Linked DNA regions of Mus musculus. The protein of the gene in region 3 purifies or fractionates together with the protein of the main gene of each other region. This does not show direct contact. Links are inferred from orthologs where the notes say so. Each region holds a gene or a part of one and is shown on either strand. Other genes may lie near its edges.

Evidence for each region.
Region 1: the proteins of Nlrp3 (region 3) and Nek7 purify together in Homo sapiens (affinity purification with western blotting; 9 studies listed by BioGRID and IntAct, with this or other methods). This does not show direct contact. The link is inferred for Mus musculus from reciprocal best matches to the Homo sapiens genes NLRP3 and NEK7.
Region 2: the proteins of Nlrp3 (region 3) and Trim31 purify together in Homo sapiens (affinity purification with western blotting; 3 studies listed by BioGRID). This does not show direct contact. The link is inferred for Mus musculus from reciprocal best matches to the Homo sapiens genes NLRP3 and TRIM31.
Region 4: the proteins of Nlrp3 (region 3) and Mavs purify together in Homo sapiens (affinity purification with western blotting; 4 studies listed by BioGRID and IntAct, with this or other methods). This does not show direct contact. The link is inferred for Mus musculus from reciprocal best matches to the Homo sapiens genes NLRP3 and MAVS.
Region 5: the proteins of Nlrp3 (region 3) and Usp50 purify together in Homo sapiens (affinity purification with western blotting; 3 studies listed by BioGRID). This does not show direct contact. The link is inferred for Mus musculus from reciprocal best matches to the Homo sapiens genes NLRP3 and USP50.

The regions. Positions count from the first base shown.
Region 1 is NC_000067.6:138,514,060-138,520,612, reverse strand, and holds part of Nek7 (serine/threonine-protein kinase Nek7), read left to right. Parts: intron 1-3,976; coding exon 3,977-4,085; intron 4,086-4,880; coding exon 4,881-4,988; intron 4,989-6,553. UniProt on the Homo sapiens protein: Protein kinase which plays an important role in mitotic cell cycle progression. Required for microtubule nucleation activity of the centrosome, robust mitotic spindle formation and cytokinesis.
Region 2 is NC_000083.6:36,906,275-36,911,915, forward strand, and holds the end of Trim31 (E3 ubiquitin-protein ligase TRIM31), read left to right. Parts: intron 1-985; coding exon 986-1,060; intron 1,061-1,505; coding exon 1,506-1,547; intron 1,548-2,916; coding exon 2,917-3,443; 3' UTR 3,444-3,943; downstream 3,944-5,641.
Region 3 is NC_000077.6:59,550,883-59,557,435, reverse strand, and holds part of Nlrp3 (NACHT, LRR and PYD domains-containing protein 3), read right to left. Parts: intron 5,666-6,553; coding exon 5,495-5,665; intron 1,689-5,494; coding exon 1,518-1,688; intron 1-1,517. UniProt on the Homo sapiens protein: Sensor component of the NLRP3 inflammasome, which mediates inflammasome activation in response to defects in membrane integrity, leading to secretion of inflammatory cytokines IL1B and IL18 and pyroptosis.
Region 4 is NC_000068.7:131,238,708-131,245,260, forward strand, and holds part of Mavs (mitochondrial antiviral-signaling protein), read left to right. Parts: intron 1-28; 5' UTR 29-86; coding exon 87-203; intron 204-744; exon of another isoform or gene 745-835; intron 836-1,607; coding exon 1,608-1,785; intron 1,786-3,172; coding exon 3,173-3,342; intron 3,343-4,411; coding exon 4,412-4,565; intron 4,566-6,495; coding exon 6,496-6,553.
Region 5 is NC_000068.7:126,775,763-126,782,315, forward strand, and holds part of Usp50 (putative ubiquitin carboxyl-terminal hydrolase 50), read right to left. Parts: intron 4,809-6,553; coding exon 4,626-4,808; intron 4,365-4,625; coding exon 4,169-4,364; intron 2,347-4,168; coding exon 2,137-2,346; intron 105-2,136; coding exon 1-104. UniProt on the Homo sapiens protein: Deubiquitinating enzyme that removes conjugated ubiquitin from specific proteins to regulate different cellular processes. Regulates the inflammasome signaling pathway by deubiquitinating 'Lys-63'-linked polyubiquitination of the PYCARD/ASC adapter protein.

The DNA of each region.
Region 1 (6,553 bases), on a different chromosome or scaffold from region 3:
TTGTTAGATCATGCCCGAATTCTGTCTAATGTAGTAGGGAAACTGACCATCATTGTTGAGTGACTGGCTTAAGGTCACATGGCTAATTATTGCCAACCTCATAATCAGTTCTGTTCTTGAGGCAGGTGTGCATTGTTCGAGGCACATTTAAACATTCCAAGTAGGAAAAGCTTCCTTATATTTAACGTCACTTCTTGATGTTGTTTTTACTATGTAACCACTGGAGTGAGTACATCTTTAAGAGTTGCTTTATATAAGTTCCAGTAAGAAGCTATATAATTTTGGGGCTCCTTGACAAGAAAACAATTGAGACACTTTGAGGTGACAGGGAAGGGTCCTTAAACCAAGTAGCTGATACAGATTCTACATGGCTACCTGTCTGTCTATGACACTGCCTCCGAGAATACCAGATGTTTCCTTGCAAAGTTTTTTGGTTTACAAAGATTAGCATGTGTAACTACAGGCTTAATTATTTTTATATGCCATGGGTATTCATACCTGTTTCAAGTCAGGATCATTTTTCCTTCTCTGTTAGGAATGTATGCTGGGTGGTTTCAATGAAGCTTTCTCGGGAATTTCTTGAGGATGCTAAAGACTCACACTGAGACATGAGCCGTGCACCCGGGGCTCCAGGGTCTAGAAAGCAGAGCCAAGGTTTCTCTGAGTTCCAAGAGTAGTACTGAGCTAGCCAGAGCCCATTTATACATGGGTTTAGTGTTAAACATTCAATATGCAGGAAACTTTACTGTTAAAACCAAAGGTGTCTTTTGGATATTTTTTTCTTAAATACTGAACGGGGGCTGCTTGTATAAGCCTGTGTTTCATAGCAGTAAGTCACTTCAGCAATAGTGTAATCACGTTTGTGTTTAAGTTTATAACTTAATTAGCTCTGTGTTACATTTAGTTTTTCTATTGAATTAAAATCAATATTGTTAATGGTGTTAGAATATACATACAGTACTTCAAGGTGAGTGTGCTTTATAAAGACACTAAACCCACCCAAATATTATATCCAAGTGATCTATTAAACCTGAGTGGCAACCTTTGTCCTCAGACCTTTACATATTTTATTTGGGGTTTAAAGACATTCTGTTTCGTAGCATGAACATGGTAAATGTGCCACAACACATAACCTTTCATGTAAATACTTTGTTATTAATTTTTAGAAACTTTCCTTATGTTAATCATTGGTTATGTATGTTTAATTTTAAGTCTTACTTGTTTGCATTAAGTGTTTTATAATACAGAATTAAGTATTATTACAGGGATATCTAGCGTTCAGAAAGTAGGAGTTTTGAAAAGCGTTGCTATCCTGCTAGCGAATAAAAAATTCCCATTTTAAAGAGGTGTGTGACTCTGAGAAAGTTGAGCACTGCTGATGTCAACCTTGCAGCCTTGTATTAAAAGTGAGTCAGGAATTTCTGTAGCTTTGTTCCCCACCCTCTCTTAGGAGGCAGGCAATAGTGCCACGGTGAGAACCGATAGGTTTGCAACATTGTAGCTGTTGCTTCCGGAAACAGCCGAAGCCCTCCTTTTAAAGACTCTTTGACAAGCCCAAGCGTTTAAGTAGACAGTTTAGAAACTGAGGACCACCAGTCGAATAATCAGACTTTATTGCCTGGTAGTCAAGTTCATGTTGTTCTTCAGTGAGATTCCTAAGGTTTGTCAGGTCAGCATGACACTCATGCCAGGTTGCTTTCCTCCCTTTTAATTTGTTATAGGAAACAGTATCTGAGAAGAATTTATACTGCCAGGTCTTCTTCACCCTAATGTGCATTTTGTGTCCAGGGTTTTTCCTGTGTCCCTTTTATATTTTGTCTTTTAATAATGAGACTTGAAAAGAAACAGAAACACACCAACACTTACAATAATTAAGAAAAAGAGGCCATGGATTTGAAAGAATTCAAGGGGCAGGGGTGGGGTGGGAGGGTGGGGTACGTGGGAAGGTTTGGAACAGGGAAATGAGGTAATTATATTACAGTCTTCGTTTTTAAGTTATTTAAAATAATCAACTGCCAAGTTGATTATGGTTATGATGAGTTTAGACTCTGTTAAAGCATTAAATTTTTCTTCCATGTTCTAATGTCTACTTGATGCAGTGCATCTTTGAATGAAGAGACCCGGTACCCGTCTTGCTGTTGGCATCAGTCATCCCTCTGATGTGTTAATGTGGCATAGGGGGGTGCATGCACGGGCATTATTGGATGCGTTCCAAGTCTCAAGGAAAATTATGTGTAAAGAGCTGAATTTTCAGTATTGTCTCCTTCCAGTGAAAACTGATGTTGACACAGTCTGCCATAAAAGAAAACCTTCCTATTGAAACCCAATATGGGCATTTCTCCATAGTTAGAAGGACAGTGGTCTACTTTCATTATTACCTGGTCATTTAGAATAGGTTACTGACTTACTTGCTAATGAAATTGCAAAAAGTAATTGATTTTTCAGCCATGTGCTATGTAGGAAAAATTAGCCTAGTATTCTTACCTTTTTTTAAACAGACATTTTTTCTTCCTCTAGCAAGTGGGCACAGTGGCAGGGGGGTGTTGGTTGTTGCTGATGGAAAAGGACTCCAGTAGTTTCCCTGTAGCTTTGCCATTTTAGCCAGCCCTCAGCTGGCCACAGGTGCGACTCAGAAGGGCTGGCTTTTCACTTTCTCAAATATAGGGTTTTTTTTTTTTTTTTGCATTCAATACCAAAAAATTAATTGGTTGAACTTTTCCAAATGTGGTTTTCAAATACAGTAAAAAAACAGATTTAAAAGTTGATGTTAGGACATATGCTTCATAAAGTTAAGATTTTTTTTTAAAGCTTTGTAGGAAAAAAAAAAGCTGTTTAAAGGTACCGTTTCTTCATGTTGGTAATTTATAAGTACTATTCAGTAAGAAACCCACTGCACTGTTGTTTTTAAAAATGATTTTTATATACAGAGTATCCAGTGGGGCTGAGAGCTTGGATCTTGCTATGCTGCTTTCATAGTTTCCTGTTAAACTTAAGACAGGAAACTGGACGACGCTGCTCTGTAGCTGTGGGCTTCTGGTTGTGTTTAGCAGTTTCCCTTTCAGTCTCTGGACCCCTCCCTCCGACAGCCTGTTGATACTCTCAGTGCTTTGCTTCAGCTTTCCTGTGACCATCTCACTCTCCAGAACGTAGTTTCATCCATTCAAAAGACAGCTTTGCTTTGTTATGTGCAGTGAATACACTCATGAAAACTTTTATACCATGACTTAAGTTTTAGTAAATTATGGTGTTTCTAGTCACCCATGCAGCTCAACCTTTAACTAGAATTCTAGAGTGGAGACATTTGCCTGAAGCAGGACTGTCTTTTGTTTGTTTGTTATTTCTATTTTTGTTGTTGTTGGTGGTGGTGGTTTTTAAGACTAAGTCCTATGTGCTAGGCTGGCTACATACTCCTTACCTCGCTGAAGATAAGCTTGCCCTTCTGCTCTCTGGCACCTGCCTCCCAAGTGCTGGGCTTGCACTTTTGACTCACCCACTTCCTCTGTCTCACAAGTGCTAAGCTTGCAGGCATGCAACACCATGCTTGTTCTTGTGGTGCTGTAGATGGAACCCAGGCATGCTAGACACACACTTTAATCAGCTAATGCAACATACTCAGTAAGAGTGGTCTTTTAGCGAGTCTACTTTAATATTTCTTCATTTCCTAAAACCGTAGTCCTTCTTGAAATGAGATGTGAGATAAGTCATTTTAGATAGATGTATTTTTTTAAAAGTAGTTGGACATTACAGAGTAGTAGTGTTCCATAGCTTAAGAACAAATAGGAGGAAATGTAAGTCATTCTGTCAAGTGAAATTTCTGGAGTCGTCTTAGTATGGAAAATTATACTTTAAAAAATAATAACGAGGGGATAAAAGTTGATTTTTTTCTGACTTACTGATTCGCAATGCTGGAATTCAACTTTAAGAAATCTGATTTCTCAGAATCACTAATTTTTTTTTAAAAAAATATTTTAAACAGCACTTTAAGAAACAAAAGAGGCTAATCCCTGAGAGAACCGTTTGGAAATACTTCGTTCAGCTCTGCAGTGCACTGGACCACATGCATTCTCGAAGAGTCATGCACAGAGGTAAGAGAAGCACGGGAAGTCTGCAGCAGCATCTTAAGTGACATTCGCCACCAAGCACTTTAAGATAGCTTCCATTCAGTCCACGGCATTACCTGTTTTTCATAATTTATGTCTAAATTATAATTTGTCAGGACTGTAAGCGTTAAAGTGAAGCCCTGCTTTATGATAAATAATGCGAATTATGCTTTGCCCGACTTCTCTCAATACCTTGCTGGTTCTCTGGGTGAGAAAGGGAAGCTGTGGGGGACAGTGCATGTGCATTAGGAAGAGGGTTTGTCGTGTCTCCTCCAGACAAGCAGACTGTGGCATCCCAGCCTCAGGCCTTCAGGGATGCTTCATGGTCAGTCCAGTTGTTGGGCAGACATAATGCACTCAAGTCACTAAGTGACTGATCCACTTATTTGGGGCTGTCAGATCTGAAGCAAATTATTTAGGGAATTGTGATTTCTGAAGCCATGAAATGAATACAATGTACATAATATTGCTAAGGTATGATTTTATAACTTGTGTAAATGTACCAATTCCTTTTTCAGCAGCATGTTATTTAACACCATTAAACAAAGGGGGACACATGTTTATTTTGTGCCTTAAATTTTCACCCGTATTCCTTGTGATATTAATTGGACTAAGAAGTTTGAAATATATGAGAATAATTCAAAATATAGTGAGTGACTTTCGGTTCAGACCTTCATATTTAATAGACATTTTGAATCCTTCCACAGGAGGAAATTTCGTATTCCTTTCAGATTCCCAAACTTATAGCATCTCTCACCTGATCTCTTCATTTATCCACAGATATAAAACCAGCTAATGTGTTCATTACAGCCACTGGGGTAGTAAAACTCGGAGACCTTGGGCTTGGTCGGTTTTTCAGCTCCAAAACCACAGCTGCACATTCTTTAGGTAAGAGGCATGATTTCACCGCTTCAGTCCGTTACGTGTGTGATTGTGTTGGTCACGGTTTAAAACAGGTCACACCAGCTCTACGGCGCTGCTTGCCTAGGAGTCAGCTGCTCCTGACAGGTGCTCACAGTTCCCTCTTACCTTTTACACGATTGCTTATTTAAACTGAAGCAGGCCCTGAGGTTTTTGTTGTTTGTGCTGGTTTTTTGAATAATACTGATAAGCCTGGCTTTTACTGTTGCCATGGAGAACTCCTTTTGTCTTATTTGTAATGACTGTGAGCTAATGGAAAACTGTATTTTGGAAGAAGTCTTCACTGGATATTTTTTAAATGCCAGAGGTAATAATTCATACATGTTTATTTATTCAATGGGCGTGTAACTGTGATAACTATTAAGAGAGAAAACCTAAGGATGATGACTCATAGTGAATGAAGAGAAACAAAATTTCTCTATTTACAGAATGGAAGAAATACCCACAGTTGATTCATTTTTGAGTTAACATTATTTTGATGTCCCTTTGCACCTAAAATAGAATTGATGTAACTACCAACACTGTATTAGCAATGGGAAGAAAAATTATTTTGGATCAGAAACAATAAAAATTCCTAGAAGAAATGTTTTTTAACTTGTGTTAAAAGTAGATTATCTCATGACTCCCCAAGTCACCTTTTTTCTTCTAGTGCATATAAAATACAGGAAGTGTTGATTTTTAAAATAAGAACTAAAACAAAATTAAGTTGGCCTTAATTTAGTTGTGTCTATCTTTGCTGTCATAATTTCCTTGAAAGTCATTAATTCTTTGAAAGCAGTCTTTAGATGTGGAGTGAGGAGCTTTTAAATGGGCTCTTAAAGAACAGTGATGTAAACTAAATAGCCAAACAGGGAAATAAGCTTCCGGATACATGGCTGGAGACATTTGAAGGCGTTTGTTCCTAAGCATTGTTCCTGAGCTTCCGTGCACCTTGAATCTATCACTTATTAATATTTTGTTTCTAGAGTAGACTTTGGCTTGACGGACAGTGTCGTGGAAATGCTTACACTTCCCTGAATTTCACTTTGTTAGTTATGGAGAACATATGATTCCACACTGATGTCCTGAAGCAGTTAGTTCCTTCACATTTCACACTTACAGTCACATAACTACAAGGCCTTTTCCAGGTATAAGATTTTGATCTGAAACCTCATAAGGAATCAGCAAATTTGCATAACCCTTTGATAAAGTTTTATTGGAGAAGTTACAATTCTTATAGTAGGTGTGGTAGACAATTTCTAGGAAGAAGCCATAGCCCTTCCTACTAAAGACACTGCCACTCTGTGCTGCTCCTCTGATTGCTGTCCTAACAACACCTTGTCAGTAACTCACTTGAAACACTAGTTTATCATTGCATGTGCACACACACTAATTGCACGTGCTTGTACACACATGCCACTTGTTTAAATGCTGCGTTGCAGTCACTCTTGAGTAGGCTGTAGTGTTTGAGCTTTACCGAACTAATGATTAACCTGAAATCCGAATCACACAACAATTTTGAACAATTCAAAGTGGATTCAGTCTGAGTTTTA
Region 2 (5,641 bases), on a different chromosome or scaffold from region 3:
TAGCAGGTGGTGAACATGGAGCTAGATGAATGTTCCCAATTTGGTTCCTGCTAGCTACATGTACCCCTGGGCACCAGAATATAGCATTCTCGTGTAGTGTAGATAAAGAATACACACCGACTCTGAAAAACAATATTAAAATAGAACATAAAATACAGCAACACAAACGAAAGCAAACAGAAATACAGCAATACAAAATTTTGAGACAGGATCTCATCATGTCACCCAGGGTAGTCTCTTACTAAAGAATTCTCCCTCAGCCTTCTGAGTAGTAGGGACTCTAGCACCCAGCACTGTACCCAGGCAGCATGCGTCTTTTATTCTACATGCTGAAATGATATTTTTTAAAATTCTGAGCTAAAAAAAAGTATATTATTTAAATCCATTGTATTTATTTCTTTTTTTTAAAAAAATATTTAGTTTATCTGAATGGCTGTTTTGTGTGCACGTATCATGTGCATGCCTGGTGCCCTCAGAGGTCAGAAGGGAGTGGGAGTGTCAGAGCCCCTGGGACTGGAGTTTCAGTGGGTGCTGAGAATTTACTCTGGGTCCACTGATGAAAAGCACTAACTTTTCACCTCCGAGTCATCTCTCCAGCCCCCTTTTTAGTCTCTTTTGAGACACTGTATGAATAGCCCAGACTCTGGAACTCACTATGTACTGTGGACTGGCCTAAAAGTTGCCATTTTCCTGTCTCAGCTTCCTAAATATCAGCGTGCTCTAGTCTTTTATGTTTCCAAAATGGCCTCTAGAAAATTCAACACTCAGTGATTGATGTTCGTGTCTGTTCTGCACAGAGCTGAGCTGGAGAGCCACTGTGGGGAGCCCCTAGGGCACCTATTCCTCTTCGGTGCCTTCTTGGTCCACTGAGACAATGTGAGGAATCCCAGGCCCACCTCTCCCAGAAATCAGTGCCTCGCTGTGTGGTTCTAGTTCCCTGGTTAACCTCTATGGACTCTGCATTTCCTTTACTCTCTCCTCACAGACGATATGAATGCCGAAGGGAAGAGAGATAAAAGCGCATTCATGAACAGCCTGAATAAAGAAGAAAAGGAGAGCTGTAAGTCTGGGCTGGTCCTGCTGTTTGGGGAAAATGAGAAATACAAAAGGGGAGGTTATCTCCTTATTGGTAGGTTGAGGAAGGTCTAGTGTGTGTGAACACCAGTGAAGAACAAGCTTATAGAACTGTTTTATCCTTTTAAATCTAGAGATAATCATAAGATAGTGACACCTTTTCACTAATTAAAAAATATTCTAGAGGAATGGAAATGTATACATTCATTTCTCAGTTCCATAAAGCTCAGCTGGAGGCAGCTCGGTCTGTAGTTGGAACTGACCTATGGTGCCAGCTGAGGAGCTGTGACCGCGATGAAGGCATCTGAAGTGATTCAGTTATGAGGGTAGCTAGGGTAAAAGCCAGGCTCAGCTGTCAATCCTCCATATGGCTTTTAATTTGTAACTTCTTGTTATCAACCTAAAATTTGCTTTCTATCTCCAATTTCTAGGGAGCCTGTTACAGAAGAATAATTCAGTGTTGCCCACCTCAGGTAGGATTCCTTCCTAGCACATTGGTCTTCCTGAGGGGGAAGCAAGGGACCTCCAGGTCTGCAGGTCAAAATGTTCTGTCCATTACACAGCTCTGATAGAGCAGGGGAAAGGTAGAGACCAGACCCCAAGAAGAGGTACTTCCCTGCATGAATGACTGCTCTCAGCTCCCCTGAGAGATGCAGGGATAAGAAGAGAACAGAGAGAATAATAAAAGGCTCACCACAGGAGAGAGGGGGTGAGGGAAGAGGACTGTGTAACTGTGCAGACTTCAGGTCCTAGAAATAGATAGACATAGAGTGAGGGCAAGCTTCTCACACACCTCTTCTGCTTCCTAAACTCCACCTTCCCCTAATGTGGTCCCCCTACTTGGTCCATGTCCCTCCCACTGTCTCAGGGGCTCAGCAGTGCCTGTTGTCCTACTGACCTCTCTTTTCTCCTTTCCTGTCCCCCAAATGTCAGTGAATCAATAAAACTGAGCCCATCTAATGCCCCATTCCATCCCCTTTCGCATTGAGACATCCTTTGTAAGGCAACAGCTCCTTCAACATAATTCTGGAACAAGCCAGAGCCCCTCATGCTAGGTTCCTGGAGGAGGAGCTGGCTGTGAGCCTGAGCTCTGGCCAGCCTCTAGTTGCCCCTGAGTCAGCACATTCCTTACAGAGGAGAGCTGGGGAGAGGTATAGGCTGCTCTCCTCTGGATGCTGCCCATTTTATTTTCTTGGCTATTTGTGTGTGTGTGTGTGTGTGTGTGTGTGTGTGTGTGTGTGTGTGTGTATTTGCACACAAAGAAGGTAAGAGCCACAGAGTGGAGATCAGAAGTCTCTCAATGTGTGTATACATTTATTTCAGTGTGTATGTGTGTGTGCATTTCCCTCAATGCATATATACATATATACAGATATATATACACACACACATATACACACACACATATACACACACATATATATACACACATATATATTGCATATATATATAGTGTGTGTGTATGTGTTTCTCTTAGTGTGTGTGTATAGTGTGTGTAGACTTCTCTCAGTGTGTGTAGTGTGTGTGTGTAGACTTCTCTCAGTGTGTGTGTGTATTCATTTTTCTCAGAGTATGTGTGTGTTTGTGTATGCACTCCTCTCAGTGTGGTGTGTGTATGTGTCTGTGTATGCATTTCTCTCAATGCATGTATATGTGTAGAGTGTGTGTGTGTGTGTGTGTGTGCATTTGTTTGTGTATGCACTTCTGTGTGTGTGTGTAGTCCTGGAGACTAAATTTGGGATTTGAAAGAGAAATTTTTCCTTCCATGAGAAACTCAAAAGCAGGGGACTGGACAACTTGACTTGAGGCTATACCTCTTTCCTCTTCTTTATCTTCCCACAGTCCCTGTGACCCTGGACAAGTCCTCAGCTGACCCAGACCTCACCTTTTCTCAGGATCTAAAGAAAGTGACCTTGTATATTGTAGCTGGAAAAGCTTCCAATAGGCAGGCAAAACCTCGACCATTCTACCCTTTCCACTGTGTGAGGGGTTCCCCAGGCCTCTCCTCAGGCCGCCAGGTGTGGGAGGCAGAAATCCGGGGGCCCTCAGGTGGGGCATGCATTGTGGGCGTGGTTACAGAGTTGGCGCGAGGGGCCCAGAGTCAAACCGTGAGCGCGCAGAGCTACATATGGGCACTGCGGATCTCGCCCTCTGGATGCCAGCCATTCACCAATTGTAAAGCCCAGGAGTACCTCCAGGTCTGTCTTAAGAAAGTGGGTGTCTATGTGAATCATGACTGTGGAGAGGTCGTCTTCTATGATGCCATCACTAGCAAACACATCTATACTTTCCAAACTTCCTTTGACGGGAAGGTCTTCCCCCTTTTCGGGCTCCAAGTTGCCTGCAGCCATATCACCCTGAGCCCTTAGGGCTGCTCGCTTGTGTGTTCCTCAGTCTCTTCCCACCTATCACTCAGGACGGGATGAGACAAATGGTAGAAGTGAAGTGTGGCCCTACTCTGACACTCTACATGCCACACAATCACCTGATGTTTCCTCTCCCTGTCTCCCCCAAGTAGAGAAGACAGTGGAATACCCCCCAAAGACTATACACGAGGTTTTTCAGTGCTGCACTTGGTAGCAGGACCTCAGAAAAGCTTCTGGCTGCACCCTGCTGACACAGGGGTGCAAGGCGCTGTCCAACACATTGGCTGCTGCTTTCTCTACTGTATTACCTGAAACTCTTGTGACTCATCCTTTCCTGAGATCTGAGAACCAGAGGTTGTACAGAGTCGGCCAGTTCTGTGCCAATGCCCCGTTTGTAGATTTGGACAATCTACAATCAAGAATAAAACCTTTTGACATTTCAAAGCAACTTTGTCATCCTCAACAGCTCTGTCTTCTAATTAAAAGCAAAATTGTAAACCACCCTCCATGTTGATTTAAATTTCTAATTTTGGGTTAGGTATATCTATATTCTTAGCCTCATCTGTCCCTCCAGCCTAAGGCTGGTTACCACTGGAATAGGTTAAATGATTGTCAAGGGAACCACACATATAGCATACTACGTTTTACAATAAAATTTTTAATGTATTTTACATTTCTGTAGTGGGGGAGTGTTGCAGGATTTTCCCTGTCCAATTACATTAGTGCAGGCAAGGCATGTGATTGGACAGGGAAAAGGGAGGCAGAGCGAGTAGTTGCAGAGACAGAGAGGTCTCAGGAGAACGGAGAAGGAGAATGGAAGCTGATGTGGTGTTATCAAAAGGTCAGAATAATTGGGTTAAAGCTTTATTATTATCAATAGGCTCTGAAATTATTTATTGGCATTTTATAAATTGTGATTCCATTCATACATAAATCTAATTGGTTAACTATAAAAAATGGTTAATTAAGCTTTAAGAGTCTGATTTTACTGGGTTACTGGGTTTTGTATTATCAAACCTAGAGGGTGGTGGATCTATTTGGTTACTGGAGTGTGGGACTGCCAGTTACAAAGGATTATAGTGGAGAGAGAACTAGAGGCTCACTGGACAAGCAAGCCAGTTACTTCAGGGGCTAGCTCCAGAGAGTTGGCAGTGGCGGCGGCAGGAGCACGGGAGCATGGTCCAACCCCTCGGGGAGTTGGCAGGTTCCATTTTTAATATTTCCCGCAACATTGTCAGTTACAAGAGTTGACTTGGTCATGATGTCTGTTCATAGCAATGAAATCCTAGCTAATACACAGAGCTACACAGCGAGACTCTGACTCAAAATGGAGAGGCAGGTATACATTCTGTAAATTTCTCATTGGCAGGTATGTTATCATTATATCCTTTGTGTTATGTACAAACCAAATGTTCCTCTACAACCATAACCTACGCTGTTAACATTGTATTTTCTGCTCTGGCTGCATTTTCTGATTTGTTTAAATACAACAACCTAAGAATGTTTTCTTTCTTACAGTGTTGTAGGCCTCAAGTTGAGAGTAACTGTTCAGGTGTCAGACTGGGTCAAAATAGTTGCTTTCAGCTACTTGGAAGCTGCCTGCCAGTTTTCCAGACAATTGTCTCTTTTGACTGCTGTTCTTTAAATATCTTAAAGGCATTTTCTTGGGATCATAAACAGTCATCCTGGAACTCACTCTGTAAATAAGGCTGGCCTTGAATCAAGAGATCTACCTGCCTCTGCCTCCCAAGTGTTGGGATTAAAGGCATACTCCATCACTACCTGGCTGATTCTGACTATTCTTTATTATTATTTTTTAATATTTATTTATTTATTCTATGTAAGTACACTGTAGCTGTTTTCAGACACACCAGAAGAGTGCATCAGATCCCATTACAGATGGTTGTGAGCCACCATGTGGTTGCTGGGATTTGAACTCAGGACCTTCGGAAGAGCAGTCAGTGCTCTTAACCGCTGAGCCATCTCGCCAGCCCTATTATTTTTATTGAAAATTGTTTTTATCACTGTGAGTCTTCTTACCCACTTTGAAGACAACTGAAATGAAAGCTGTATTTTTTTTCTATAACTACATGCTGTAAATATATGTGTAGAAATGATCTGCCATATTGGATACTGTTTTTCTCCAAGATACTATTTATTTAATATGTTGAATATGTGTTATTTCCAGAGTAGACAGAGTT
Region 3 (6,553 bases):
ACACCTGTTAAAACAAAACAAAACAAAACAAGCAAACAAACGAAAACTTCCCACTCATTCCTTCCCAGTCCCTGGAAGCTACCGTTATGCCCTACATTATGAATTTAAGAAACGTTATGTAAGTGTAATCATAGTGTTTGCCTTTTGTGACAGATTTATCTCACTTAGTATTGCACCCTCGAGGCTCGTGAAGATTTAAGCAAGTGTCCTGATTTGTTCAAAGCTACGTATGTGCAGATGCCACCTTCTGACCAGTGTCCATCAACAGACACGGAGAAGTTTCTAACCTCTGGCTGCCGTTACTGACATGCTCTGGACTTGATGTTGCAAACACGGTTGCATAGCTGGCAGATGCACCCGAAAACACATGGATCAAGTACAGGTCCATACTCGTGTGAGAATCACTGTGCTGGTTGCCGTGGTTTATGTTCCTGCTTGCTGTTGTTTTACGTTCCTACTAGAGCAGGGGTTCTCAACCTTCCTAGTGCTGTGACTCTTTAATCCAAATCCTCATGTTGTGGTGACCCCAACCACAACATTATTTTCGTTTCTACTCCATGGCTGTGATTTTCCTTCTGTAAATATCTGTATTTTCTGATGTACTTAAGCAATTCCTGTGAAAGGGTTGTTTGACCCCCAACAGGGTCTCAATCCACAAGTTGAGAACAACTGCATTAAAGAGACAAAAGGTTCCAGTTCTCCAAGTCCTTACCAACACTAGTCCAGTTTCTTATTTGTTTGTTGTGCGTTTGTTTTCTATAATCATGGTGATGAACTATGAGCCACCACCACCTGATCAAGTGGGGTTTTTGTTCCTTTTTGTTTGTTTGTTTGTTTGTTTTTTGTTTTTGTTTGTTTGTTTGCTTGCTTGTGTTTTTGTTTTGAGACAGGGTCTCATGTAGCCCAGCCTGGCCAAAAATATGTAACCAAAAATGAGCTTGAGCCTTTGATCTTTCTGCCACCACATCTGGTTTGCTGGTTTGATTTGGTGCTAAGGATCAAACTTTGGGCTTCACATATGTTAGGCAAGCACTCCGTCAACTGAGCTGCATTCCTAGCCTGCAAGCACTCTCTTAACTTTTTAGAATTCTCGTCTCCTAGAAGCGTTCAGTAAGGACCCCACACAATAAATATTCCATTGCTTAAGCGCTGCTTTTTTTCTATTTAGTGTGAGGATTTATTATGACCTCTCAAAACCGTTCTACCATGATGCTTAGCAGTGCTTCTGTTTCCTCGGATATCTTAAAGACAGTTTATTTGATGATTTATAAACATACACACACGCACAGACATACACACCACTGCTATATTTTCCCATTAACTCCCCGCACAGCAATCACTGGCTGACTGAACGACTGGCAAACTAGCAGAAGGGAGCGCAGGAAGCCCTCCAGGCCGCTGAGAATATTCTCATCCTCACACAGGAGCTGATGATGGCTCGCTGTGTCTCCCTGAAGCAGAGTTCCTGAATTGGGCCTCCACAGCAGAGCTGCCTAAGGGAGGTAGGCCAGACTCACCACAGTTTCTGGAGGTTGCAGAGCAGGTGCTTCAGTCCCACACACAGCAATCTGATTCCAAAGTCCCCCAGGGCATTGTCACTGAGGTCCAGCTCCACCAGCTTCTGGCTGCTGCTCAGGACAGAGGAGATGTCGAAGCAGCATTGATGGGACAGTCCGCAGCGCCCCAACCTTCACAGCGAGAACAGAATCAGACATCAGAGAGAGGCCTCTCTCAGGATCCAGATCCTATGCGTGTCCCACGCCTACACGCTCACACTATGGGGGGCGGGGACTGAAACCTCTGGGAAGTGGAGCCTAGAGGAAGACACATGGGATGTATGGACACTGAAGGGGGTGACCTTAGGGAGATACTGAAATACTGTTTTGTCTCTCTCTATCTCTCTCTGTCTCTCTGTCTGTCTCTGTCTCTCTCTGTCTCTCTGTCTCTGTCTGTATGTGTGTCTGTGTGTCTGTCTCTTTCCCCCTCACTCTTGCTCTCTTCCTCCTTTGTTCCTTAGCCTCATGATGTGCATAGACTCCCCGACCATATAATGCTACCACGATATTCTGGCTCATCACAACAGACTTGACTGACCATAGGCTAGAACCATGAGCCAAAACAAAGTTTTCCTCCTTTTAAATTGACTGTCTCAGGTGCTTATTTCATGATGGAGAGCCGGCTCGCACAGCCTCCTTCCCTGCTATCGTTCTTCAGTTTAGATGCAGTTTCTGTATTCAGCAGGAGCCCGATGTGTTCTGGGGTAACCAGAATTCCTGAGCAGCACACAGGACACCTTAGAAGTGGGAGGGGGCCTCATGGTGAATGCACCAAGCTCGTGTTGGTCTGCACTTCGGGTGCACAAAGGGTACATCCTGGTTTGTAAATGACAAGGGTGGTGAGCCTGGAGCCCCTGCCTTCCAGCGTTTCTAATGGTTGAAGTCCCCTCACGAGGCATGCGTGTGGCTAGAGTTCTCGTTCCCATGACATTTTTGTCTTTCCGTGCGTTAGGAGAATGTGATCCCCGTGCTCTCTTCACACCGAGGAGAAATTTAGGAAGCAGAACTGACCGGTGATCTCATAAAGTTCCTATTCTGCTGGGTGGGTCAGGGACACCAAAGCCACACTCAGGAAGACACCGATAGGAAGGATGGGGGAAGTTAGGGTCTCTCTGTGCTTCCCACAGTGCCAACCTCTTGGTACATGTGGCCTTCACTCCGTTTCCTTCTTGGTGAACAGATCTCTGTGAGCCACAGAGAAGAGCTGTGGGGAAATGTCAGCTAGGCAACACTCAGGGCTGGGTCAGCGTGCACCCCTCACCCCCATTTGTGAGTCCTTTTTTGCACTATTGTTTGGCTGTGGTTTGTCCCCAGGAGGCCACAGTCAGAAGCTTGGTCTTCAGCGTAGTGATGGGAGAGGGGCTGAAACCTTTAAGAGCTGAGGCTAAGTCCATAATAATGATGCTGCTGTAAGCACGGCTCTCCAAAGGAGTGAGAGGAGTTTTCTCAGGATCCACTTAGTTCTCCACAGTAAGGCCAGGGAAGTGACTCAGCGGGTCAATGCTCTTGCCACCCTAACTTATGACCTCATCTCTGTCTGTGTCAGGAACCAATTTCCAAACTTGCCCACTGACTTCCACATGCATGTTGTGACGTGTGCAGGCCCACATACAACAGACATCGGTAACACAACACACACATACACACACGCGCGCGCGCGCGTACACATGCACATACCATAAGTTTTTAAAGAAAAGAAAAATAGAAATGTTCTTTTTTAAGTGTATGGGTTTTTTAATTTAAAATTTTATTTGTTCCATATACTTGGAGTTAAACAAAATAAAGCACAAAATGGAGTGTGTGAAATTCAGAAGCATAAGACAGTCATAGCTCACAGGCTAGAAGGGGAGACATTGAAATATACTATGGGGCCGGAGAGATGGCTCAGTGGGTAAGAGCACTGACTGCTCTTCCAAAGGTCGTGAGTTCAAATCCCAGCAACCACATAGTGGCTCACAACCATCTGTAATGGGATCTGATGCTCTCTCCTGGTGTGTCTGAAGACAGCTACAATGTACTTACATATAATAATAAAAAAATCTTTAGGCCGGAGCAAGTGGGGCTGGCAGCTATAATTGTACTCATATACATAAAATAAATAAGTAAATCTTTTTTTAAAAAAGAAAGAAAGTAATATACTATGGAATGGACTTTGTGGCAATGCTACAGTTAAGCTAATGTAGGGAATACATCCAAAAGAAAATTCATCAAAATAACAGCACAAAAATCTACAGCTAACAAGCCAACAAAGAAAGATGGAGTAATCATTAGTTTTCAATAACACTCAGAAATAATAAAATAATTCTCAATAATATAAAGCCACTGGGAGAGCAGAATGGGAGAATTATTTATTTTTATGTGTTATGAATGTTTTGCCTGCATATATGTCTGTTTACCAAACTTGGGTCCTCTGCCAGTACAGCAAGAGCTCTTAGCTGCCAAGCTATTTCTCCAACACCTCGAGTTTGGTTCACAACACCACATGGTAGCTTACAGCTATCCATTACTACAGTTCCAGGGACTCCAGTACCTTCTTCTGGCCTCCAAGGGCACCAGGCATGCACATGGTACACAGACATATGTACAGGCAAAACATTCAGACACATAAAATAAATAAATCTAAAAGAAAAGAAAAAGCAGATGTGGAGAGACAAAACACCCAACATCCTTCTGAGGCACACACACTCTTAAAGACCGGTGTGCCCTGGTGTTCCAAAGACCACAGCGAAATAACAGGAATTCTTCCCCAGAGTCATAAGCTAAGCTCACTGTAACATCCAGCACAGTGCTCCTGGCCCTGGGCTGGCCAAGTGAGGATGAGAGACTGTGAACAGCAGCTTATACAGAAAATAAAATTGAGTTTTTACAAATGGTGTTGGAAAGATATATAGTACGAGCAATAGGGAGATAGAGAAATACTCAAAAGAAGTGAACGTAATGGCAGGACGCCACCTCACGCTCTTAGACCCACAAAAGAAGCTGAGGAAGGGAGAGTGCTGGAGCCAGAAAGTAGGCCAGCTTGGGCAACATAGTGAGGTCCTGTCTTTTAAATAAGTAAATAAACAAACAAATGAAATTTAAAGAGCTATGTAACTTGTTAAAAATTCAGATGCTACATGAATCCAGAGTATGTGTTAAAGGCCCAAATGTGTCCCTCCAAAGCTTCACGTATCAGCACATTTGATTCTATTATAAGTGTGCTGGCTGAATGGACTGGAGGTAAGTTTAGAAAGCTGTAGACAGGGAAGATGAAGAAGAGCTGAAAGGAGCTATTTGTTGGTGGCAAAACAAAGGTTGTGTTTTCCATTTCTTCATGGACCAGGCTTCTGGGTGAGAACTGGGAAGTTTCATCACAGATGCTGTTATGGGGATGAAAAGTTTATCTCCTCAGGTTGGCCTCACTAGTACTACCCACGTGTTCAGCCTACTGTGATTTATATGCTGTACTCTGAGCATCTGAGTCCCCAGCTGGGCCCCTGGACCCTCCCTCCAGCTGGGCCCCTGGACCCTCCCTCTAGCTTTATTTAACACATACTGGAAACAGGTGCTTCAAACAGGTCGTTGAACAGAATTCAGTGTTAGCCCTAGTGCCGTTGGACTGGTATCAGTACAAGGAAAGGTTGTTAGAGGTTGGAGGACAGACACACAGCTAGAAGATGATGCAAAGATTCAAGGAGAAAATGGCCACCTACAAGCCAGGGAGAGAGACACAGAACAAATCAACCAATGGATATGTGATTTTGAACTCCTAACAGCCAAACCTGAGTGGCCACAGTCCACCCAATACTGTGCATGGAAGCGATATTCTCCCAAACGCTTACTTCTTAGTTCATTGGGTTTTGTTCTCAATCCCATTCATTAATCATCTTTCTCTACTGTCTTCTCCCAATCATTCTACACACACACACACACACACACACACACACACACAGACTTACCACAGTCTCTGAATGTTACAGCCTGGGTGCTGGAGTGCCTCACACAGCACCCTCATGCCCGGGTCTCCCAGAGTATTGTCACTGAGGTCCAGTTCAGTGAGGCTCCGGTTGGTGCTTAGACTTGAGAAGAGACCACGGCAGAAGCTAGAAGTGAGGCAGCAGTTCACCAGTCTAGAATGGCAAAGGAGGAGGCCAGAAGAAAGGATTAGTTTCCAGGAACAACAAACTGGAGCTCAGGACAGGGATCCTGGCACCTGTTCATAGCCGTCTCCTAAGTGTTAAGCCACCAGTCACAGACCTACTGTCCAGGCCCCTCCTTCCCAGTCACACCGTTGTTTCCCTGGCCTGTTTGCAGCTTAAGTGGCCAAGGAGCATCTTTGACTCAGGCTGCCCAGATGCAGCAGGAGTGCTGTCAAAATGCCCAAGGCCAGGCTGCAACCACAGAAGTGAAGTCTGAGTCTTAAAAGAGTGACACAGGGCTGGTGAGATGGCTCAGTGGGTTAGAGCACCCGACTGCTCTTCCGAAGGTCCAGAGTTCAAATCCCAGCAACTACATGGTGGCTCACAACCATCCGTAACGAGATCTGACTCCCTCTTCTGGAGTGTCTGAAGACAGCTACAATGTACTTACATATAATAAATAAATAAATCACTCTCTTAAAAAAAAAAGAGTGACACAGCTACACTGGCAGTTTTTAATTCTTATAGTCATTTTGAGGGAGTCACATTAGAAAACCCTGTAGCACTTATTAAAATGCAGAGAGCCTGCGGATGGGACGTAGCTTAGTGGGTAGAGGCTTGACTGGCATGTTTGAGACCCTGGATTTGGCCCCTAACACTACATAACAACAGAGCATGTTTGCCGATACCCGAAGTCCTAGTACTCAGAACACGGAGGTTAGAAGATAAAGAGTTCAAGCCAAGCACGGTGGCGCACACCTTTATTCCCAGCACTCGGGAGGCAGAGGCAGGCGAATTTCTGAGTTCGAGGCCAGCCTGGTCTACAGAGTGAGTTCCAGGACAGCCAGGGCTACACAGAAAAACCCTGTCTAGGAAAGA
Region 4 (6,553 bases), on a different chromosome or scaffold from region 3:
CTTGTTCTCCTGTCCATCTCTCTTCCAGTCCATCTCAGTCCATCCCACCCTGCCAGGGTCCGAGTCACTCCAGAAGCTGAGCAGCCATGACATTTGCTGAGGACAAGACCTATAAGTATATCCGAGACAACCACAGCAAGTTTTGCTGTGTTGACGTTCTGGAGATCCTGCCTTACCTGTCCTGCCTCACAGCTAGTGACCAGGTGAGCGAGGGACGGCACAGCTGGCCAATGGCCTGGGCCCAGGGCTGTGCAGTCCAAGTGTCAGCCTGGCCTGGCCTTTCTCCCAGGTCAGGATCAGCTTCCCCTTCCTTTCCTGCTTTTCTGACTTTTAGTGTGTTCAGCTTGTTTTTTTCTGACCTTGCTAAATTCCTTTCCTTTTTATATTGCACTCAAGAGTGTGGCAGGGGGTCGGCAGGTTTCCAGGCTCTGGCTCCCTGTTTTCCGGAACCTTCTCTTTGTTTGTCCTGGGGTCCTGCTTGGTTTTGATTCATTCTCTCCTAAGACCCTATCTTGGCACAGAGTCTGCAATGTCAGACCTGAGGACTCTGAGCCACCAGGGTCTTGCCACACCAGGACGTGCTACAGGGCTGCACTCAGCACCCAGTGAAGTGGCAAAACTGGGTTTATGTTTTGCTTCTTCTCAGATGGGATGGGCTCCTGTGCCCCCAGAGCTGCCTCTGTGTGTGTGCTCTGGGGGCCTCCTGTCCTAGGTATCTCGGGACTACTATGGTTTCTTGTGCAGATACTGTTAAAGCACAGGGCTGGGCAGTCAGGAGAGCGTGCTGGCCGGCCTCGCCCTGTGTTGGACATTCTTCGGGACACCCAGTCATCTTGTAAGTCATCTAATGAATATTTCCCATGTGTCACTTGCTTTTCTCTTCTTCCTCTTAATCTTCTTCCAAGTCTTCCTCTTTCTTTTCTTCTTCTTTCCCTCTACTTCCTCCCTCTCTCCCTCCCTCCCTCCCTCTCTCCCTCCCTTACTTCCTCTTCAGACAAGGTCTTCTTAGGTAGCCCAGTCTGGTCTTGAACTTGTAGTCCTCATACCTTAGCCTCCCTGGTGCTAGGATTACAAACTGATTGGTCATTTTCAAGTGGGAATCCAGTGAATCAGCAATCCTATAGCTGCTGTCATCTTCCTAGAACTTCCCCAGTATGCTCCCCTGCCTTGCTTCCCATTCTTGGCTCTCCTTCCCTTTAGTCTCTGCCCCTTTCAGAGCATTGTGGCTGGGCCTCTTCTCCATCTCAACTCATTCAGACCCTGCTCCTTGCTTTAGGGGCTCCCAGTCAAGCTTTGCCCCCTCTCAGTGCTGCTTCGCTTCTGCTCGGCCTCTGACTCCTCATCTGTAAAGTAGGAATGGTCATTGCATTTAATGCGACAATGCCTGCAAACCTTGATGTGGCCGCAGCCCTTTCCCGGCAGCTTCCTTTATTGTTGTTCATTGATCCTCACACCGTACTTGGGCTACCATCGTGGCCTTGGCCTGCCTCTCACTCAGTTTCAGACAGCTGCCCACTTCCTGTGGCTTTCTCTTGTAGTAGCTTTCTTCTGAGTAGAGAAAAGCCTAGGCCACCTGGCCTAAGGAGGCTGTCTGTGCTGTCTTCCAGGATCGACTGCGGGCTTCCTACAGGCAGATCGGGAACCGGGACACACTCTGGGGACTCTTCAATAATCTCCAGCGCCGGCCTGGCTGGGTGGAGGTCTTCATCCGGGCACTGCAGATCTGTGAGCTGCCTGGGCTGGCTGATCAAGTGACTCGAGTTTATCAGAGCTACCTGCCTCCGGGTGAGCATCCTGCCCTAGCCTTTTTCCTGGGCCATTGCCTGTTCCTCCGGCCCACAGTCTCCCCCTTCCTTCACCCTTGGACCTTCTGCCTTTCTGTCTCCATCACTCTCCATTGTAGCATATACCTGGATTTAGATCCAGCTGAGCCACTCACTAGCTATATGTCCTTTGACCATATTCCTTATTTTTTGAGTCTGTCACAGTGGGGCAAATGGCCACATCCCTCATGTGTGGCTGCACTTAGCTGGGGTTCCACATCTTCCCTTTGCCCAGCGCAAGGCACCTGCCATCATGTTTGTGGCTCTGGTGTTTCCTTCTGTCTCCATCTATACAGCGTAGAGAGTACAGAGTCTACACCCAGTCACTTTCCCTACTCTCCATTTCTATTCCCTGCCCCAAGGTTGCTCTGAGAGCATCCAGGTTCTAATGATAACACCCAACTGCCTGGTGGCCCCTTAAGTCCTCTCAATGTCACTGCCACGTCATGTGACCAGAGGGGGTTTAGTATTAGAGCTTGAAGAGAAGATCTGGGAAGAAAAACCAAGCCAATCTTGAACACACCATGTTTGCTTTTGTTTCTCTTTTCCTCCCTTCTTCCCATGTTGGTCTCTTCATTTGTGGATGCTGCAGTGCTCTCTCAAATAAGTAATGGCTATGGTAGGGTCAGAGATGGGCTGTGGCAGGGGTCGGTTGGGGATGACAGCTGTGAGAAAGCCTTGGGACAGTGGAGGAAAGTGAGTATAACAGTCAGGCTGGTGAGAGCCCTGTGCCCTGCTCCCCCATCTTTGGTGCCACCTTTCTTGTCTTTCCCAGCTCTTCTTTTCCTCCTATTCCCTCCCCATTGATGCTTATCATGTCTAATGAATCTTTCTTAGTCAGGGTTTCTATTCCTGCACAAACATCATGACCAAGAAGCAGTTGGGGAGGAAAGGGTTTATTCAGCTTACACTTCCATACTGCTGTTCATCACCAAAGGAAGTCAGGACTGGAAATTAAGCAGGTCAGAAAGCAGGAGCTGATGCAGAGGCCATGGAGGGATGTTCCTTACTGGCTTGCTTCCCCTGGCTTGCTCAGCCTGCTCTCTTATAGAACCAAGACTACCAGCCCAGAGATGGTACCACCTACAAGGGGACTTTCCCCCTTGATCACTAATTGAGGGAATGCCTTACAGCTGGATCTCGTGGAGGCATTTCCTCAACTGAAGCTCCTTTCTCTGTGATAGCTCCAGCCTGTGTCAAGTTGACACAAAACTAGCCAGTACAGAATCCATCCCACATCAGGTCATGGAGTTATTGAAGGGAGACTAGATGCCCCAAGCATCCAGGCCTCTTCTATTACCAAGGTACCTCTGATTCTTTCTGGACATCACTATATCTTTGTACCTTAGGGACCTCACTCCGCTCCCTAGAGCCACTGCAGTTACCAGACTTTCCTGCTGCGGTTTCTGGACCCTCTGCATTTGCGCCAGGTCACAACATCCCTGACCATGGCTTACGAGAGACACCAAGTTGCCCCAAGCCTGTCCAGGACACCCAGCCACCAGAGTCCCCAGTAGAGGTAAGTCCTCACAGTCTGTTTTAAGCTGCCTGCTTTTGTGTGCCTGTCTGCCCACTTCTGCCCACCCAGCCTTCCAGAAGCCCCTTCCTACCTCCTGAAAATCTTTCCTGCTAAGAATGCTGGGGTTACCTAACTGGCTACCTAACTGCTGGCCATACCTGTGGACCCCTTAGCATTCTGTCTTTAGCTAGCTAAGAGGTCATGGTTTTGAGGTCTTTGCAGTGGTCATGTGACATGTTGAGCTGGGTAAAAAAAAAAAAACAAAAAAACAAAAAAACAAAAAACTGGAGGTTAAACCAGATTTGAATGTGAGGGAGGTGATATGAGGGCTCAGGAAGTCATGGATGGGTGGTGACAGAGCTCTTATCAACTGTAAAGTCAGGTATCTGGAAGATAACTAGTTCTACTGAGATGAAGTGAGTTAGCCATGGGGTATAGAAGAAACCCTAGGCCTAGACAATGGGTCTGAAGCCATAGGGTCTGTGCAGAGACTGCTGAAGAAAGGGCAGTGGTTACAGAGCTAGACACACACATGGGGAGGAAACTTGGGCAGTGCCTGCTTTTTGTTTTGTTTTGTTTTGTTTTGTTTTGTTTTGTTTTGTTTTGTTTTTATGTTTTTTAAAGCACTTGAAGTCATCCCGAGAGGCTGGGGATGTAGCTTTCAGTTGGTGCAGTGCTGATCTGGCATACACATATCCCTGAGCTCAGTATCCAGCACCATAGAAACTGGGCATGATGACATATACCTCTAAGCCTGACACTCAGGAGGTGAGAAGCAGGTGAATGCAAAGTTCATAGTCACCCTTGGTAAGTTCAAGGCTAGGGTGAACATAAGATCTGATCCAAAAACAAAACAGCAACAGCAAAACCAAGTAGGTACTAGGATTGAAGACTTATATTTGGCAAGTATAATATTGAAGAGCTACTTCACTCTTATATGTGAAGGTTTCTGAGGATCCTGGGCTCTAGAGGAGGAGCTGAGGCCTGTAGGAGATACCCTATAAATATCTGCTGCCCTTTGTCAGCTCCTGGGAGAAGCAACTGCTTTATCTCATTTCCTCTGTTTCAGAATTCAGAGCAACTCCTCCAGACCAACTCCGGGGCCGTCGCGAGGATGTCTGGTGGCTCTTTGATACCCTCTCCTAACCAGCAGGCTCTCAGCCCTCAGCCCTCCAGAGAGCATCAAGAGCAAGAACCAGAACTGGGTGGCGCCCACGCAGCAAGTATGCATAGAGTGTGGAATTACAGGGTCTCTTGGATCCCTCGCAGGAAGGTTAGGGTTACAGTTACCATATGGCCTTCCTTAGACAGGAGGCAGGGTAGAAATAAAAGGTATTCGCTTCACAGAGTATGTTCTGTGTGCACGCCTGTGTGTGCAGTAGTGGCAGCAGCAGCTTCAAATGCAGTCATTTATGTGCACATGTCTCAGCTGGGTAGGTCTTCTTATCTCGCTGAGTTTTCTCTCAGGTGTTTACTGACATATACATGTGTTCTTCTACTATCCATTACCTGGTACCTCTTCATTCTCTTTTCTTCTAGGACAAAAACCCAACTCATGACATCTGGGCAAGGCTCTAGGTAAAAGAGAAGCAGAGCTCTGAGCATAGGCTCAGAACTGGCCTATTTCTCCTGCTCTGTTCTGTGGTCAAAATAGATTAAAATTTTAATTAATAGATTAAAATTTTAATCTGGCCAGCCCAGATTAAAAGCACATTGGAGGGTGTAGTTTTTTGCCCTGTGAGTGTGTATTTTTGTACATTGCTGCATATGAGAGAGAGCTAAGGCTGTTTCTGCACTCAGGTAAAAGGTAGTGATTGTCCAGGACCTGAAGACAGGAAAGATAACATACAATAGTAGCTGATGAAGGAGCTTTTAAACACTGCTCTTCACAAGGGGATTTCTAGTTCCCAGCTGTGGTGGTTTGAATGAGAATGGCTCCCATCGCCTTCTACATCTGAATACTTGGTCCCCAGTTGGTGGAACTGTTTAGAAAGAACTAGGGGGTGTAGTATTGTCAAAGAGGTAGGCTTGGAGGTTTCAAAAGCCCATGACATCCCTAGTTAGTGTTCTCTCTCTCTCTCCTGCCTCATGCTTAAGGATAAGATGTAAACTCTCAGCTACTGCTCCAATGCCACACCTGCCTGCTACCATGCTCCCACCATGATGGTCATGAACTCTAATCCTCTGAAACTGTGAGCCCCAAATTAAGTAATTTCTCATATGAGTAGTCTTGGTCATGGTATTGTCACAGCAATAGAAAAGTAACCAAGACACCAGAAAATCACACTAAAGTGGTTCAACCTCAAATGAGTCTGTCAGGGGACAGAACCTGGTGTCCCCCCTTAGGACTACAGTCTATCCACCCCAACTTCCAGGCTAGAGTGGCTCACCTCTACTTTCTAGACTGTGTTCTGTTTGTTCCTGGTGCCTTAGGGTTGCCATGTGAACAGTTGAAGGTCGATGGAATCCTCCTAACGCTCCCAACTTTCCCGAATGGCACTTCACTGTAGCATGCTTGCGAGCACAGGTTCTAGGAGACTTTCTGTCAGGTTTAGGGGGAGACATCAGACATCACTTCTGGCCTTTGTCAGCCATGGCAAGTGTATCCTCAGAGTTCTGTGAAGAGTCTGATGTCATCAACTTTATGCACTTCCTGATTCCCCGGATCAGACTCCCTTTCTGGGACTACTAGGTCCCTACCCCTGGGGGTGTGTGCCAGCGGGTCAGTTGACTGGTTAGTGGTTCTGTTGAGCCATCCTGCTATTGCCCCATTCAGGATTTCTCCTGCTAGAAGCTAGTGGGGGCGGTAGTAAGAGGAATGCCTCAGGACATTCGTACTCATGTCCTAGGACAAGGTAGAAGAGGCTGGAGTGGGAGAAGAGGCAAGTGTCCAGGGTGGAAGGAAAAAAAAATAATTAGAACAAGTTTTAAACTTCTGGGTGCAGATGAAGGTAGAGCCCATTTTACTTTGGTGATGGGACAGATGAGGGTTTCAAGGTAACGGCTGAGGTGCAAGAGTCTTCTCCACAGGAGGAGATTGGGAGACAGGATGTGGAAGGGACCATGTGATCAAGGACATGGGGACCCTTCTCTAGCCCTTAAGTTAAAACCACCCTTTGCATTTGTTTCTGCTTTTGTCTTCCCCACCTGTAGATGTTGCCTCTGTTCCCATAGCAACCTATGGACCTGTGTCTCCAACCGTTTCCTTCCA
Region 5 (6,553 bases), on a different chromosome or scaffold from region 3:
ATCGTGGTCCTCACAGCTGCCTCTTGCTTGATTTCACAAAAGGAACAATAGATTTGGTTGCTCCAGGTCAGTGTGTCCTGTTGGAAAAAACACTGGAGACAGTCCTGTTGGGGGAGAAAGAACACTTGCTGGCCCGGGATCCTCACTGACAATAGAAGAAAAAGCAGAACTCTGTGGTGTTTGCATGTTGGGTGGAGGCAGGAGAATGGTTGGTTTGAGACCAGCCTGTGTAATTCAAAGAGACCCGTCTTTTATACACACAACCAAACCAAAGAAGTTTGGAGGAGCTGTGCAAATGTGCATCTGGGAATTTTTCTAAGGAACAAACCCAGGAACTACACTCTACCAACCCCCATGGCCCGAGTCCCATAAAATCTGCTTAGCAACTGTTTTCGTTTGTTGAGCCAGGACTGGTGGGTGGCTCACACCTTTAACCCAGAGGCAGGAGGAGCTCTTCTAGTCCAAGGCTAGGTTGGTCTGCATACCTAGTTCCAGGGCTGCCAGGGCTACATAGTGAGACCCCGGGTAAAGAATAAGTAAAAATCTACCTAGCAACAAGAGATGCTTTTTCACTGGACTGTTAGGATAGGCTTAGATTCTTTTCCCACTCTATTGCGTTACCTTTTCTGGTTTATTTCTGGTTTACCTTTTCAAACACAGACTTTGAAATTTCTACCAACAAATCAGACAGCTCTTTTATAATTATGTATCCCCTGACTCAGCTCAACAGGGGGTGGGCCTGAAAAATGACCATATCTCATGGTTTTGGGTGACACTTTTCAGATGAATTTGAGTCCACACCCAGGAAAATGACGTCTACAGCCAGGTCCTGCTTCTGCAAGATCTTGGCTTAGAGGAGAACAAACAGACTGTTTCCACTAGACCTGCCAGTGCCTCAGTCCAGAACTTGTCATTCTTCCTAGTGAACTTCATTTAGCCTTTTGATCAAGTGGAAAACAAAATTAACACATAACAGGCTTCTGTTGTTCCCCAGCTGTATACACAAAAACTCATCAACAGATGTGCTTTTACAGTCTCAAAAGAACAAGACAGGTTTGTGCAATTGTGCAAGGAAAATGTTTCCTGATTCCCAAAGGTTCCTAACCAAGCTCTCTCCTCCCACACCCACCCCTCACTTACAGAGCACTCTGAGCACTGTGGTCAAGACGATCAGAGAGGAAAACTACGCTGCAGACCCCCTCTCTCCACACAGTACACAGCTTCTATCCAGACCGCATGGCACTGCAATTCCAGGGAATCTGACGCCCTTTACTGGCCCTCTCGGGCACTGAGCACGCACATAGTACACACATATGCATGCAGGCAAACAAGCATACACTGTGTAATAAAAATAAATCTTTTAGCCGGGTGTTGTGTCGCACGCCTTTAATCCCAGCACTTGGGAGGCAGAGGCAGGTGGATTTCTGAGTTCGAGGCCAGCCTGGTCTACAAAGTGAATTCCAGGACAGCCAGGGCTACACAGAGAAACCCTGTCTCGAAAAAAAAAAAAAAAACCAAAAAAAAAAATCTTTTTTAAAATTTTTATTTATTAATTATACATAAATACATTGTGTAGCTGTCTTCAGACGGACCAGGCGTCAGATCTTGTTAATGGTGGCTCTAAGCCACCATGTGGTTGCTAGGATTTGAACTCAGGACCTTTGGAAGAGCAGTCTTACCCGCTGAGCCATCTCACCAGCCCAAAATAAATCTTTTTAAAAAGAATCTATTATGACTAGTTCTAGCTTTAAACTATAGAGTGTGGGTAGGGAGCCATGATATCATTGTAAGAAATCACAAACTGCTCATCTCAAGAGACTGAATAAACCTCACCTATATTTAAAGTTTTAAGTGGGGCTTTGCCTTGAGTACATTTAGAAATAAAATTAAATCCACAGTAACTATAACAGGCTGCTTTTTAAAAATGCTGTTCATTCATGGACCACCTTTATTTATGGCTTTGAGGCATAATGCAGCCCTTTCCTACTTAAAATTGTAGGAAATAACAGCCGACACTGTAATCCTCAGTATCTGAGAGACTCAGGCAGGATTACAACAAGAACCACCACTACCACGCACCCCTCCCCCCACATCTCAAAAACAAGAAAATATATTCAGGAGCTGGGGGCTCCCTACCTGGAGGGAACATTCATAGTCAGATGGGATGGGGAGGGAGAGGATGGTGAAAACTTCGTTCTTGTGCGTGCAGCTCTCACACTTTAAACATGTGATGCTGTAACTGAGCTGTCCTTCAAACAGCCGGGTGATGATGGAGGTCTCCTGGGCCGGCACCTTCCTGCAGCAGCTTTGGCCTGTTCTTTTCTCATTCACTCTTCTTCGGCAGTGCTGTGAAAAAGGACAAATTCCACATAAAAACCACGGAAGCCGGGCGTGGTGGCGCAGGCCTTTAATCCCAGCACTTGGGAGGCAGAGGCAGGCAGATTTCTGAGTTCGAGGCCAGCCTGGTCTACAAAGTGAGTTCCAGGACAGCCAGGGCTATACAGAGAAACCCTGTCTCGAAAAAACAAAAACAAACAAACAAACAAAAAACCACGGAAAACAGAATGGCGGCTTTCTCTATTCAAGTGATACGTGGATGAGAAAACAGTTTGGATTCAGAGGGAACATTAAGACATTGACAGCATAAGCCATGAGTGACATCTGGTGATGCAGCTATTTCCCTTTCAGGATGGCTCTGAAGAATGACCATAATTGTCCTGGCAGGAGATCAGATACTTCACGGGGAGACATTTGTGCCCTCCCGTTAGCTATCAGAAGACTAAAAACAATGGTCCTCAAGAGATTGGAATTGCTGCTCTCGTGGCTGAATGAAGCTTGGTGTGGGTGATGGAAGAGCCCAGGAGATTAAACACAACTGCAACAACTTGTCAGACTATCTTGCAAGAGAGATGGGTACCAATACAGTGATGGTTCAGGAATGCGCAGCACTGGCTTTGAACAGACTCTTAGTTATTTACGCTGCTAGCCACCTATTTGAATCTAAACCTCATGTCAGTACCCAAACTTGACTTGAGGACGACTGAACCAACTTCTTTATGGGTTCTTCCCGGTGTAGGCAAGCCGGACAGATCTCCTGTGTCTCCCCAGTGCGACTGCCTCTCACTGTCCTAGAGAGGAAGGCAGGGGGCTGGAACTAGCTTGTTAAGGCTTTTAGGGCTCAGGCTTTGACCCTTAGAAAGCATTGGTAACAGTTTGGCAAGCTAGGCAGGCATTGGAAGCAGGTTGGCCTTGAACTGCTTTCCTGAGAGGACTTTGATCTCAAGCTTCATCCAGCCCGAGCTGCTTTGTATTTGTGAAAAAGAAGCAGTGTTTAGACACTTGGTTTTAAACTCAGGTGAATTCCTCCTGGGCAGTTGGACCTGGGCTTTTTTGCCTTCCTGTTGGCTTGGAGGAATGGTTTTGTCTTGTTTTGAGCTGTTTGATTTTGTTGAACCAGTTGGGCTATGATCCTCTGAATGTCTGAGCACATCTGGAGTAATTTTGGGCTCTTCAGCACAGGAATGTGAGAATTTCAGATGTCTATAATATCTGCACATGGAGCAGGGCTGAGGCAGGAAGATTCCGAGTCATAGACCTGACTGGGCTCCACAGTAAAACTTAGTTTCAGAAAAAAATAAAAGTAAATAAAAAAAATAATTTTAGGAACTGGACAGAGGGTTCAGTGGTTAAGAGCTTTGGCTGCACTGGACAGTAGCGGCGCATGTCTTTAATCCCAGACCTCAGGAAGGGAATCTCTGAGTTGGAGGCCAGCCTGGTATACAGAGTGAGTTCTAGGACAGTCAGGTCTATACAGAGGAACCCTGTCTCGAAAAAACAAACAAACAAAAACAAACACTGGCTCTTTTCCAGAGGACCTGGGTTCAATTCCCAACACCCACATGGATGGTGGATGGAAATTGTCTGACACCCTCTTCTGGCCTCCATAGGAACCTGGCAAACAAGTAGTACACAGACATACATGCATAAACAATAAAAATTTTTTAAAATTTTAAGTAAAAAAAAAAAAGCAAAACAACCACTAAATAACAAATATCCTAACCTGGACATTTTCCTCAGGACCCCAGCACCAGAGCAGGTGCTGGGCAGGCCATGCAGTCTGAATACACATACAGCCTACATCTCCTAGCTCAGACTTGTTAGTTCTTACCTTTTTCAAAGCTTCGTGAAGCTCGTTGAGGACGTAAATCAGGAACTCCTGCGCATCTTGCTGTGTCTTTTTCAGAAAAGCTGGGTAAAGACTGCCAACAGCCGACAGAAATATCTCTGGTGAGACACAGTCTGAGTCCCCAAGCCACATATCTGTCATCAGGTAGGCAAAGGCGGTGGTAACCTCACTGCAGTCCCTGAGAAGAAGAGCAGAGGCAAAGGGCAAATATTCCCTGCTGATTTAATGAAAAGAAAAGACCCAGTCTCCGTGGCAAGGGATCCGTCCACGCCCCTGCACCAGAGCCCTGTCCACCTTGCTCTCCGCACCCTCCATGTGTGTTCTCTGGGGACCTACTGTGTCTGGGCTTGTGGCCCTTCACAAGGACTCCAGCGGGTCCTTTCCTCACCTCACCTGGGGGAGCTGGGGTGGGGCAGACTCAGGGAAGACCTCCTCTTACTTCTTAAGAGCTGTGATGTACTTTCCGGACAGGAAGTACTCCACCAGTGGAGATACGCTGCAGAGGCATTGCAAGATGGCGTTCATGTAGCAGGTGTTGCCCAGGTTCCGCAGTCCCGTCACGCCCTGGAAGTGTGGCTGGGTCTTAGACTCCGGCAGGGAGTCATAGTCTGCACACTCCGCACTGTGTGGGCCACATGGAAGGAGAGTGTTTCCAGGGGAGAGCATGAGTGCTAGTGCCGCTCAGACCCTGGCAACCTCTGAAATAAAAGTGCTCTTTTGTGGCTGGGAGGCAAGGTCTGATAACCTAGGCCTTCTCTGAACTGACAAGTCTCTTGTTTCACACCTCAGTGACTGAAGTTAGAAGTCACCAGCCTGGCAAGAAGGGTTTTGTTCCTTTTGTTTTGTGGTAGGCCCTCCCCATGTGTCTCTGGCTGGCTCTGCACTGGCTACGTTGACCAGGCTGGGCTTGAACTCACAGAGATTCCCCCGGCCTCTGCCTCCTGGGTGCTGGGATTAAAGATGTGTAATTCTAGCCAGGGGGTGGTGGCGCACGCCTTTAATCCCAGCACTCGGGAGGCAGAGGCAGGCGGATTTCTGAGTTCAGATTTCTGAGTTCGAGGCCAGCCTGGTCTATAAAGAGAGTTCCAGGACAGCCAGGGCTCAGAAAAACCCTGTCTCGAAAACCCAAAACAAAACAAAAAAGGTGTGTACTTCTCTGATTGGCTAGGAAGGATTCTTAGTGGGTTTTTCTCTCAAACTCACTCTCTACCAAGGACAGAAGGAGTTTAACTTAGGCCCAGAACTCTGAATGACATAAATGTTTGAATGTCTGACATAAATAAAAGTTTCTTCCTAAAAAGAGAGTAAAGAGATAGAGTAAACCTGCCGTCCAGGTCTCAGGGTGGCTTGGCTAAACATCCAAACTCAGCTGTTAAAAAACCAAAGCCTTTCCTGCTTTAACAGTAACATCATAGACATTTTGTACTTAGTCTGACTATATTAAACATTTAATATACATTCCCCATTAAATATTTGCAACAGCTCTTCTGGGTAGAAACAGTCCTTCTAAAATCCCATTTACAGGTGGACTAACCAGCTTATGTGAGTGAGTCATTTGCCCACAGTAGTATACCAAGGGCAAGCACATAGTGATGCAGGAGAAATGAAGGCATTTACCTACCTTACCTGGCCATTAAATTATATGGAATTACAGCATATGCTGAGAATGAATATAACTCTATAGGTGACATATGGAGAACATAATACAGTGTTGGAGCTGTGGCTCAGTGGGTAAGAACACTGACTATGGATTCAAAGGACCCCAGTTCAAATCCCAGCAAGTGCTTTATGGGGCCGTTAAAGGGTTGTAACTTTGAGCCTTTGTAGCTTCTTTTGGTGTCTGGAGACAGCTATAGTGAGCATGATACATACACATAGTAGGAACATATACATTCATATGTTAAGGGCACAGGTATGTATATATGCATACATATGTGTGCATACATGCACATTGCTACGCTAATAACTGATTATATATATTTATGATTAGGGTTCTTATGTTTGCTCATTTATAACACAGAAACATTCAGCATGAGAAAGTGTCCTTGGCCTGTGTGAGGCACTGGCTTTGGCCTCAAGCTCCTGATCCCCCAGCAAAACAAGGAACACTACCTCTTCCTGGCAGGGTTACTGCGAGGGCCATGCAGGTGCCATGCAAGGTGCTTAGCTTAGATCACATAATAAATGATATCTTTTAAAAGAATACAACATAGCCAGTTATTGGTGGTGCAAACCTTTGATCCTAGCGTTCAGGAGGCAGCAGCAGGGGGGATCTCTGAGTCTGAGGCTAACCTGGTGTACAGAGTGGGTTCTAGAACGAATAGCTAAGGCTACACAGAGAAACCCTGTGTCCAAAAAAAGACAAGT